Linked DNA regions of Sus scrofa. The protein of the gene in region 1 purifies or fractionates together with the protein of each later gene. This does not show direct contact. Links are inferred from orthologs where the notes say so. Each region holds a gene or a part of one and is shown on either strand. Other genes may lie near its edges. The genes, in order: ANKLE2, PPP2CB and PPP2R1A.

The links.
Region 2: the proteins of ANKLE2 (region 1) and PPP2CB purify together in Homo sapiens (affinity purification with mass spectrometry; 4 studies listed by BioGRID and IntAct, counting the BioPlex papers as one, with this or other methods). This does not show direct contact. The link is inferred for Sus scrofa from reciprocal best matches to the Homo sapiens genes ANKLE2 and PPP2CB.
Region 3: the proteins of ANKLE2 (region 1) and PPP2R1A purify together in Homo sapiens (affinity purification with mass spectrometry; 7 studies listed by BioGRID and IntAct, with this or other methods). This does not show direct contact. The link is inferred for Sus scrofa from reciprocal best matches to the Homo sapiens genes ANKLE2 and PPP2R1A.

What each region holds. Positions count from the first base shown.
Region 1 is NC_010456.5:22,766,043-22,769,689, forward strand, and holds part of ANKLE2 (ankyrin repeat and LEM domain-containing protein 2), read left to right. Parts: intron 1-689; coding exon 690-796; intron 797-1,617; coding exon 1,618-1,808; intron 1,809-2,071; coding exon 2,072-2,714; intron 2,715-3,309; coding exon 3,310-3,441; intron 3,442-3,647. UniProt on the Homo sapiens protein: Involved in mitotic nuclear envelope reassembly by promoting dephosphorylation of BAF/BANF1 during mitotic exit.
Region 2 is NC_010457.5:54,312,685-54,316,331, forward strand, and holds part of PPP2CB (serine/threonine-protein phosphatase 2A catalytic subunit beta isoform), read left to right. Parts: coding exon 1-19; intron 20-2,386; coding exon 2,387-2,476; intron 2,477-2,584; coding exon 2,585-2,746; intron 2,747-3,647.
Region 3 is NC_010448.4:57,937,435-57,941,081, reverse strand, and holds part of PPP2R1A (serine/threonine-protein phosphatase 2A 65 kDa regulatory subunit A alpha isoform), read left to right. Parts: intron 1-480; coding exon 481-595; intron 596-704; coding exon 705-775; intron 776-1,201; coding exon 1,202-1,336; intron 1,337-3,647. UniProt on the Homo sapiens protein: The PR65 subunit of protein phosphatase 2A serves as a scaffolding molecule to coordinate the assembly of the catalytic subunit and a variable regulatory B subunit.

The DNA.
Region 1 (3,647 bases):
GTCCAACCCCTCGCTTTGTGCTTGGTCATAGAGACCAGTTCTTGCAGAGCCCCAGTGCATTGTCAAGGGGGCTTCAGAACCTTCACTGAGGGTGTGTCTTGATCCTGTCCCTCACCTATTAGTCAGGGCCCGTGTGTGATGAGCCCTTGCTTCCAAGAAGCCAGGTTAACGTGGCTGACCCTCCCCTGGCCAGCGTCACCTGGCTCCCCACCTGTGCCAGCGTCTTGACCTGCTAGCTAGGCTGCCTGTTCAGGAGTCTTGGATTTGCACTGTTACTCGGAAGTTCACCTTCCAGAAGGAGGTCCTTCATATACTGACCTGTCTATAATCTTTAATCTTGTTGAAAGAACTTTCTCAATGATTAGTTACCCAAAACTACAGAAATGTTAGGATTAGATTCAGCAGCACCAATATTTATTTTCCATAAAACATGAAAAGCACCAACGTTTATCTTCCTCTCCTGTGATGGGAAAGTGACTTGGGGCTCAGGGTGGCACCTCTACAGTGTCTCCCTTGGGGCCTCCTGGTGCAGCTCTGACCATTAGCCAAGGCCGGGTTGGTCTCTTGGCTCCAGGACAGGTGGGCGCATTGCCTGCAGGTTGAGGCGGGTGCCTGTGGTGCTGGTGGCTCTTTACAGTACCAGGTGACCTGGGTGCAGAGCATAGCTCAACACACCCTCTCTTTCGTAGGCAGAAGATTTTCGCCGACTCTGGAAAACCCCGCCTCGAGAGAAAGCAGGCTTCTTCCACAGTGTCAGGAAATCGGATCCAGATAGAGGCATTGAGAGAGTGGGAAGGTACTTAAAGGGCCCTAAGTGACCATCATTTTGGATGCTGTGTGCTTGTGTGAGATTGAAGCTAAAGAATTGCAGCTGCCTTCCCAATGGTAGTTCCCAGATCGAGTTTACTGGGAGAGTGTGAGGGCTGTAAGTCCTTGCAAAGGTGCAGGCTGCAGCTCATGCAGCAAACGTCTCAGTCAAACAGTCCCTCCAGGGCAGAGGGGTGTCTGAGAGGCACCAGTGAGTGTGTGGTAGGTGCTAAGCATCAGAGGAGGGCGTGGCCAGAAAGTACTAGTAAAGAAGTGCCTGGAAAGCATTCCTTCCCCAGTCAAGAAGGTAATTTACAGTGTAATCAAATTAAACTTAGTTGAGTCATTTTAGAACTTTTTCTCAAAATATATGTGCCCAGTGTTAGGTTTACAACTCAAAAGTGAAAAGGGCTTCTACGCGTTTATGTCTGGCCCAAACCAGAATCATCTCCAACTTTATGCCGTTGTTTCATGAAAACAAAAAGGTCTCCATTAGTGGAGTTTTACAGTTGACCCTCTCTAGCTCTCCTGAGTGTCAGTGTGAATGGTGCGTTTGGGTCGGGGTCTCCTTCCTCCCCAGTGGCCTTGTTGGCTCATTCCATAACACGGCAGAGTCTGAGAGGGAAACTGTGCTCGCTCTTACCCTGGGAGGGCGGCTACTTCAGCCCCAAATTTAGGGTGAAGTGAAATCCAGACCAAGATCACAGGCGTTGCTTTGGCACTGTCAGCATCAGGCTCCTTTCTGTGTAGGCAGTTCTGTGAGTTTTTGTCCTGGTCTCACAACCGGTTAACTGTGCTTTATTCTTTCAGAGAGCTGGCTCATGAGCTGGGGTATCCCTGGGTCGAATACTGGGACTTTCTGGGCTGTTTTGTTGATCTGTCTTCCCAGGCAGGCCTGCAAAAACTAGAAGAATATCTCACTCAGCAGGAAGTAGGCAAAAAGCCCCAACAAGACATGGGAGAAAACTCAGCCTGTCGCCAGGAGGACACTTCAGCCCTCGGTAAGAACATGGGCTGTGTCCTGGGAACCAGCCGGCTTCCTCCTTGTTTCCCTGCCTTGGAGGGAGGAGAGCTGGGCCCGGAGGCTGTATTTCTGTGTGCAAGGTCCTGCCAGCCTTTTTCAAGAAGGTGGTTTTCTGTCTTGGAATCTGAGGAGGAGGTTTTGAATGAGAAGGGCCTGGGCTGGGGTTTTGTGACTGTGCCTGGGGGCACCCTGCGCGTCCTCTCACCCACACCCTGAAGGGCTGCCTTTTTTCCCCCACAGGCCGTCACAGGAAGGGCAGCAACTCCATCTCTGTGGGGGCGTTTCTAGATGAGGATGAGGATGTGAGCTTGGAAGAGATCAAAAATCGGCAAAACATTGCTCGAAGCAGCACACAGCCTGCAGTCACTGCTTCCAGAGCCTCGGGGTGTAACATCCACCCCTCCGAGCAGAAGTCAGAACTCATAGAAGCCTCCGCCCCCACCATTCCCCACAGCAACAAAAATGGGTTTTGCAGCCCCCTGAGTGAGGGCAAGACCCTGGGGGGGAAGAGGCCAAAGGCCCCAGTTGGGGAGGAAGCGTTCCTGTCTCCTGTCTCTGGCTTGACTGTTGAGTTTGATAAACTGAATTTGCAGAATCTAGAAAGTAGCTTTTCTAAGACACCAAAGAAAAACTCGAAAACTCAAGAGAAGATCCTGGCATCAGGAGTGAGTGCAGAAGGTGACGGGTCTGGACTCCCAGCTGCCGACCCTCCCGGAGAGACGCAGATGAGGACAGAAAGCGAGATGTCAGCTGGGATTTCGAACTTGTACCTGGGTCCCACCAGCCCCAGGCTTGCGGCCCAGCAAAGCTGTGGTTCTGTGACTTCAGGGCCCTCGGGGGTCAATGCCTCACAGGACCCAGTCCAGAGGCGCTTCCTGTCTGGGTACGAATTAGGGGGCATACACACACCATCACGGGGCATGCACATGAACGTGGAGCAGTGGGAGGGAACATGAGGAGGCCCACTTCAACCCGCAACCTGGCAGACCTGCACCTCTAGTCCTTGGGTCTTCCAAGTGGGTCAGGGCTGGCATCCTCGCTGGCTCGATGTGTCTGCTTTACTTCCTGAGTGACCCAGCTGTGCTAGGAGTTTAGTTCATTTTAGGAAGGAGGGCTGCCAGGATCTTAGTCCCCAGCTTCTGCTCAGCTGTCCTCGGGGTGGGACTATGCAGAAGGCAGTTTCACAGCAGGACCCGTCCCCTCAGCACATCGCCTCCACTGTCCCCACCTGGGCCTCTCCGCAGCCTAGATCGTATTCCTCTGCCTGAAGGTTGTGGTGGTGCTTGACATCTGTGCTTTTTTTCTCTTATTTTCTTTCGGTTTGCCCCTGCATCATGCAGAAGTTCCTAGGCCAGGGATCAAACCCACACCACAGCAGTTTGTCACTGCCAGATCTTTAACCCGCTGTGCCACAAGGGAACTCTCAGATGTCTGTGCTTGTTATCATGGTGGTTCCTCCTTTTTCTCGTACCTTCCAGAGAGGAACCATCAAAACTGGATCGGGATGTTCTGGCAGCTCTGGAGAACGCGGACGTGGACCCTCAGCAGTACCCAGCTGTGAACAGGTGGAAGAGTGCCGTCCTGGGCTTCTCCCCCTCAGACAGACAGAGGTACCAGTGGGCGTTACACAGGGGGCGTCAGTAGCTACATTTGTACAAAGGTTCATCTGGACCACTGTCAGGCCCGTCAGGGAGCTCCCCTGATGTGTGGCTGCAGGTGGCAAAGCGGGAGGGGTGATGCCCACGGTGATGGGTGCAGGGAGGGGTGGCCAGGGTTTCTGCGCAGGGTCACCTGCGGCTCATGCAGGAAATCGCAT
Region 2 (3,647 bases), on another chromosome or scaffold:
AGCTTTAGTAGATGGACAGGTGTGTATGTGAGGGTGGATAAAAGTAGGAAAGGATTTTGATTAGTAATTTGTAGTCTGGGTTTACATGGCATTCTTTCTGCATCTCCTTGGACTTTTCTCTCTCTTTCCCTTAAAGTTTCAGAACAAGGAATTGGGTTAGTTTTATGTACATTGAGACCAGCAAGTTCTTCCTTTCCTCCTTCTCCACCTTCCCATTTTCCTTTCACTTTTCTCCTTTCCATCTGTTTATATATCATGTGTTAAATGAAGATCTCTGACTCTAAGTAGTAGAACAAAACTTAAGTTAGAAATTAAAGAGAGGACTTCCTGTTGTGGCTTTACAAACCTGACTGCTGTCCTGAGGATGCGGGTTCGATCCCAGGCCTTGCTCAGTGGGTTAAGTTGCCGTGAGCTACAGTGTAGGTCCCAGACACAGTTTGGATCCCACATTGCTGTGGCTGTGTCGTAGGCCGGCAGCTGCAGCTCTGATTCAACCTGTAGGCTGGGAACTTCCATATGCCTAAGGTGCGGCCCTTAAAAAGACAGGGGGAGAAGGAGAAATTAAATAGAAAAGGATAAATGAAAATGAAAAATCGACCTCCTTGGGAACTTTCACAACCTGATACTAACACAAAAATCACTTCTAAATGACTGGACCAAAAAGTATGATGTAAACCAAAACTTTTGGATGTAAATAAGGAATGAAATGCGAGGAAATGCATTTATTTATAGATTATTTTGTAGAAAAATAGAAATGTGAAATGAATATTTAAAGAATGAAACAGTTGGAGTTCCTGTTGTGATACAGTGGAAACAAATCCGATTAGTATCCATGAGGATGTAGGTTCAATCCCTGACCTCGCTCAAGGGTTTGGGGATCTGATTTTGCCATGAGCTATGGTGTGGTGTAGGTCACAGATGTGGTTTGAATCCCATTCCTGTGGCTGTGACTTAGGCCAGCAGCTGTAGCTCCAATTTGACTCCTAGCCTGGGAACTTCCATATGCCTTGGGTGCAGCCCTAGAAAGCAAAAGGAAGGAATGAAACAGTAAAATAAACTTAAAAAAAGATAAAAACAAAAATGGATACCAAGAAATGCAGTTGAACAATATGGCCAGAAGCAGTTTCTGAAAGTCTAATAAAGAAATTCAATACCCAAAACTGATGTAGAAAAAGGCCACATAGGAGTTCCCGTCGTGGCGCAGTGGTTAACGAATCCGACTAGGAACCATGAGGTTGCGGGTTTGATCCCTGCGCTTGCTCAGTGGGTTAACGATCCGGTGTTGCCGTGAGCTGTGGTGTAGGTTGCAGACGCGGCTCGGATCCCGCGTTGCTGTGGCTCTGGCGTAGGCCGGTGGCTACAGCTCCGATTCGACCCCTAGCCTGGGAACCTCCATATGCCGCGGGAGCGGCCCAAGAAATAGCAACAACAAAAGACAAAAAAAAAAGAAAAAAAAAAAAGAAAAAGGCCACATAAAACACTAGGATTAAGAAGGTATTGCTGTAAGTTTGGAGGCATTTACATGTCACAGTTAACAGTTACAGCTTTATTCCAGTAAATTTGGGGGGAATAGATGAAATTATTTTATAATAAAATATAATAAATATTATTTATTAATTTATATTAATTATAAATTAATTATATTAATTATTAGGAGTTCCCATTGTGGCTCAGAGGGTTAAGAACCTGACAGTCTCCTGAGGATACAGGTTCAAACCCTGGCTTTGCTCAGTGGGTTAAGGATCTGGCATTGCCACAAGCTTCAGTGTAGGTCACAGATGTGGTTTGGAACTCATGTTGCTGTGACTGTGGCATGAGCCACAGCTGTGGCTCCAATTCAGTCCTTGGCCCAGAAACTTCCATTTGCCACAGGTACAACCATAAAAAGAGGGAGAAAAAAAACTCATCAAAATCAAGAGAAAATTGCCTTCTAAAACTTGTATTATCTCTTAACATAGAATCCATGGAGGAATATATATATTCCCCCCACCCTAGAAGAAAAAAGTATTATTCAGTTTTGTTTTGGGAAGTCCTAGCCAGTGCACTAAGCAATAAAAAGAACTAAAAGGTATAAACATTGAGAAGAAAATATTCTTTGCAAGCAACATGATTATGTACTTAGAAAATTCTAGAAAATTGAACTGTTGGAACCAGTAACAGGAAAGGGGGAAATACACTATAGAAAATACCTAGGATTATAAAGAAAAAAGAAGTATATTTAAATGTTAATAGCTCTCTCTAATAATGTGTTTTTGTATTGTATTTTATAAGTTTATTAAACATTATTTTGTAAAGAAAAGCCACTGGTATTGACATGTAGCCATTATTTTTACTCTATTGTCTTTTAGCATTTAATAAAATAAGTTCATTTTAAATTCATAAACAGATATTCTGCCTCCATGGTGGCCTCTCTCCATCCATAGATACACTGGATCATATAAGAGCCCTGGATCGTTTACAAGAAGTGCCACATGAGGTAAACTTAGTTTTAATAAGAGAGAAATACAACCACATTGTGGTACAGCTAGATTAGTTAAACATGACTACTAATAATTTGTACCACGTACTTCATTTTCTTGGTTAGGGCCCAATGTGTGATCTCTTATGGTCGGATCCGGATGATCGTGGTGGGTGGGGCATCTCACCACGTGGTGCTGGCTACACATTTGGACAAGATATTTCTGAAACATTTAACCATGCCAATGGCCTCACACTGGTTTCTCGTGCTCACCAACTGGTAATGGAGGTATGTCCTTTTCCTATAAGATGATCTCTATTTCAAGTAAACGTATCCATAGTAAGGGTTCATGAATTAAAATGTCGGTAGTTCTGTCGTGGCGCAGCGGGAACAAATCCAACTGGGAACCATGAGGTTGTGGGTTCAATCCCTGGCTTTGCTCAGTGGGTTAAGGATCTGGCATTGCTGTGAGCTGTGGTGTAGGTCGCAGACACAGCTTGGATCCCACGCTGCTGTTGCTGTGGCATAGGCCAGCAGCTGTAGCTCTGATTTGACCCCTAGCCTGAAAACCTCCACGTGACGTGAGTGCAGCCCTAAAATGCAAATAAAATAAAACCAATGCTTTAAAAAAAAGTGAATTAAAATGTCAGAAACATTCCTCCTCATTACCTAAATGAAAGGAGAAAAAATTTTGCTGGTTTAAGCAAATATGAAAGGACTAGTTGGCCAAAGTAAAATTATAATTCACTTTTGAAGTTAATTTAGAATTAGAGGAAAATTGAAAAAATAGTAACAAAACATTTCCTTGTATCCTACACTCAGATTCCACAAAGATAGATATTTTAATATTTGCTTTATCATTCTGTCTCTCCCTTCCTGTTCCTCCTACCCCACATTACTTTTTTTGAACTGTTTGAATGTCAGTTGCAAGGGAGATGCCCCTTTATATTCAAATTTCCATGTGTATTTTGTAAACTAAGGACATCCTCTTGCACAACCACTCTATATAGTTGTCACAGGAAAATTTCATTGCTATGCTACTATTATCTAAATACCTTATTCACATTTTTATTATCTCACTGATGTCCTTTATAGAAAAATTTAATTGTATATGTGGGTGTTTAATCCAGGATCATGTTGTATTCAGTCCCTTTTGATGTGGAAATAATTCCGCAGATCTTAGTTTTGC
Region 3 (3,647 bases), on another chromosome or scaffold:
ACGCCGTAGATGTGATCCTGCAAAGCAAAAACTGAGAGCCGCCTTAAATCGTTAGGCTCCTTCTGGATCAGGTAACAGAAAACCCAGCCCTGAATGACCTGCAGAGTAAGGCGATCTCGTTATTTCTAACGTAGGTAACATGTGCGGTTAGGTACCCTTGCAGTCCTCGTGTTGCTTTTGAGGAAACAGAGGCTCAGAGAGGTGTAGCCACTCCTCCAAGGTCACGTGGGTGATAAGTAGGAGGAAGAATTTGAGCTGGGGCTTGGACTCCAGAGCCACGCTGGTGACCACTGTGCCATTGGCCCAGCTCAGCACCTTAGGAGGAGGGAACTGAGCCTCAGAGTGGCTCGGCGACTTGGCTGAGGTCAATCCCCATGGTGCTGGGATTAGACCTTCGCAGCGATTCCAGGGGCCTCGCTCTCGGCCAGTTCTCATTCACCTAGAGAACCGCCAAGCCCACTCACTCCTCCCTTCCTGCAGCTCCAGAAAGCAGTGGGGCCTGAGATCACCAAGACGGACCTGGTCCCCGCCTTCCAGAACCTGATGAAAGACTGTGAGGCCGAGGTGAGGGCCGCAGCCTCCCACAAGGTCAAAGGTTGGTGCTGGCGAGCAGAACACAGCAAGTGGGCGGGCGTCCAGGGGGCTGAAGGCAGAACCAGGCCCTCGGGTCTCACCTCCTGCCGCCTCCCTTTCCCTGCCCGCAGAGTTCTGTGAAAACCTCTCAGCCGACTGTCGGGAGAATGTCATCATGACTCAGATCTTGCCCTGCATCAAGGTATCGGGGACTGGGGGTGGAGGGGGGAACTAGAGCAGATCTAAGCCTTCGGGGAGGAAGGGTGGAGGTGAGGCTTTGGGGGCAGCCAGGTGCAAACCGAGCTCCCAGACTTCTAGGGCCAGGCAGGCTTGGGTTGGGGCAGTGAGGAGCCCTGCGTGCAGACTCTGGGCTGAGCGTAGGGGTGAGAGTGCTTCTCTCGCAAGCAGAGGTCCCTGGGTCTCCTCATCGGAAGGGTGGGGGCGGGGGTGCTGGGAGCAGGGTCGTTGATCTCCAGGCAGGCTGGACACGTGAGGACCTGCAGTTCTCCCTCTGCACCAAGCCTGCTCTGGGAGTGAGCACAAAAGCAGGCCGAGTCTAAGTCTCCATAGGAGTCGGAGTCTCCTTAGCCACTCAGCCCGCGGCTTCCCACTTCCTTCTCCCTCCCAGGAGCTGGTGTCCGACGCCAACCAGCATGTCAAGTCGGCCCTGGCCTCGGTCATCATGGGCCTTTCTCCCATCCTGGGCAAGGACAACACCATCGAGCACCTGCTGCCCCTCTTCCTGGCTCAGCTGAAGGATGAGGTAAGGGCACCAGCGAGGCCCTGAGCTCAGGGTGGGGTAAGGGCACCAGCGAGGCCCTGAGCTCAGAGCCGCTTTCCCAGATCAGCCAGGGATTTACCTCCTAGGACCTTCCACCAGCACCCACATTGTCGCTGCGTTGCATGTTTGTGGTCGTGATGGGCTGCATGTGAGGCACCTGTTCATCGGGCATCTGTTCATCATCAGGCATCTGTTCATCAGGCATCTACTTATTAGGCATCTATTCCTTAGGCATTTATTAGGATCTGTTTATTAGGCATTCATTTCACCTGCCCTTATTCTGCACTAGACCTCTGTCTCGGCATTGGGGTTACCACACAAGGAGTAAGACGGGCTTGATCCTCAAAGACCTTTGGCGGCGGGCTGTGGAAAGGGACATATGGGTTCCCCATGGCTCCCTGGTGATACAGGTGCTGTGCTGTGTTCATGTTTATCGGCGTTCAGGCTGAGATGCTGTCATAGAGGCCCCAGAATACAGTGGCTTAACCGAGGCGGAGGACTACTTCCCTTCCAGCGATCCAGAGGTGGGGTGGGCCTGCGCTGGGGCTTAGCCCTGCCGACCTCAGCACCCTGTGGGTCTCAGGTGGCTGCTCTGACTCTCGCCGCCTCCCAGCCAGTGGGAAGGGACAGGGCAGCCCACAGCAGCGGGCCTTGTCCCCTTGAGAGTAAGACCCGTCTGTTTTCTGTTCACACACCATTGGCCAGCGCTGTCCCTTGAGTGACCACACCTCACTGTTTACTTGGCCTGGAGCACAAAAGAGGAGAGCGAGCACCCCGTGATGGCTGGCGAGGGCGCGGGGTGACAGCCGGTGCGGGGAGGAGGTGGGGCAAATCTGGGGGTTAGGAAGGAACCCCGAGGCTAACGTGGAAGGAAGATGCAGGTGCCGTGGCCAGAAGAGGTGCAGGGAGACCACCCCCCCGGAGGCCGCTGCAGGAGCCTGGGGAGGGAGCGGGGCGCAGGGGTGTGGGCAGCTCCGCCAGGCAGGCAGGAGGACTGCGTGGGGCAGGGGTGGCAGGCAGGCTCCCTGGTTTCCTTCGGCCTTGGTGGTGACGGGGCAGGTGGTGAGACTGAAGGCTGGTGTGTGACCTGTTACTGCTGCTTCTGTGTTCCCGGAGCCCTCAGTCGCTTCCCCTGACACACGTGCACACACAGCACAGCGGTGCTCAGGTGGAGCGTGCCAGGGAGCCGGAGGAAACATTTTTTTACCAGTTCACTGCATCCCATCCGAGCCCCCCCCCAGGCGCACCCCCTCCTGCCCCCATCGCATCATTAGATTCTGCGGCAGCGGGATGATCTCTCAGCCCAGAATTACACATCAGGGTTTTATACATGCTGGAAACAGAGCCTTTGAAAGAAAACCTAGTGATCCTACTTTTGATCATGTATTTATTTCAGTTCGTGTTTGACCATCATTTAATTCTGTAATGACCAAAATTTTATGATGTTAAGTGCTTCACACACATATTTTCTTTCATAATCATGCTTTTGTAGCTGTAACTTGTTATAAATACGATTTTTTTTTTTTTTTTTTTTTTTTGCTTCCGTTGCCTCAGTGGGCACACCTTGGCTGGCGAGAGGCCCCTTCTGTGTTCTTTCAACACCCTCCCCAGCATCTTCAAGAGCATTCTGCTTTCTCATTCAAGAAAATCTTTTTTAAAAAATTATCAGAATAGTTTCAACAAGAAGAGAATTTTCCACCCTCTTCTCTCCCCATCCCTGAGAGTAAATGGCGAGTTTGTGGGAAAGGCTCCTCCTGGGGTGTCTGGCTGACCCTCAGGTTCAGAGTGGACCTCACCTTTTCAGCTCCGCCATCAAGGGTTGCTCTTCAGCTGAGGCCTGGAGTTCCTCGCCCGGCCTTGTGAGACGGCAGGTGCGCCACCCAAGGGGCAGCCCGCAGCCTGTAGGCGGCGGCTTAGTGGGACCCGTGTTAGTGGGACCCGTGTGCTGCCTTGGAGCCCACTCCCCGGGGGCGGTGTGTGTCACTCGCGTCTCCCTCGTGTCCGGAGGTGAGACCCCGTGTGGGGGGACGCCTGGTATTTTCCCACGTTCACAGCTGTGTCTGGGCGACTCGCCCCTTCGGGGAGAGGGAAGAGGCCTGCTCACTGTTGAGAACACTTCCGCTCTTGGTCCCGGGCGTGAGAACCGAGGCCTCACTCAGCTGGGGGTCTCCAGGCAGTTCGGGAAGCCCATAGAAATGGTTGTACGTGCCCTTGAGTTCCCTCTAAGCTCACGTACGTGAACTTAGGTCTCTATCCAGTTGGTTTTCAGCTTCTTCAAGGAAGAAGTCTTGCT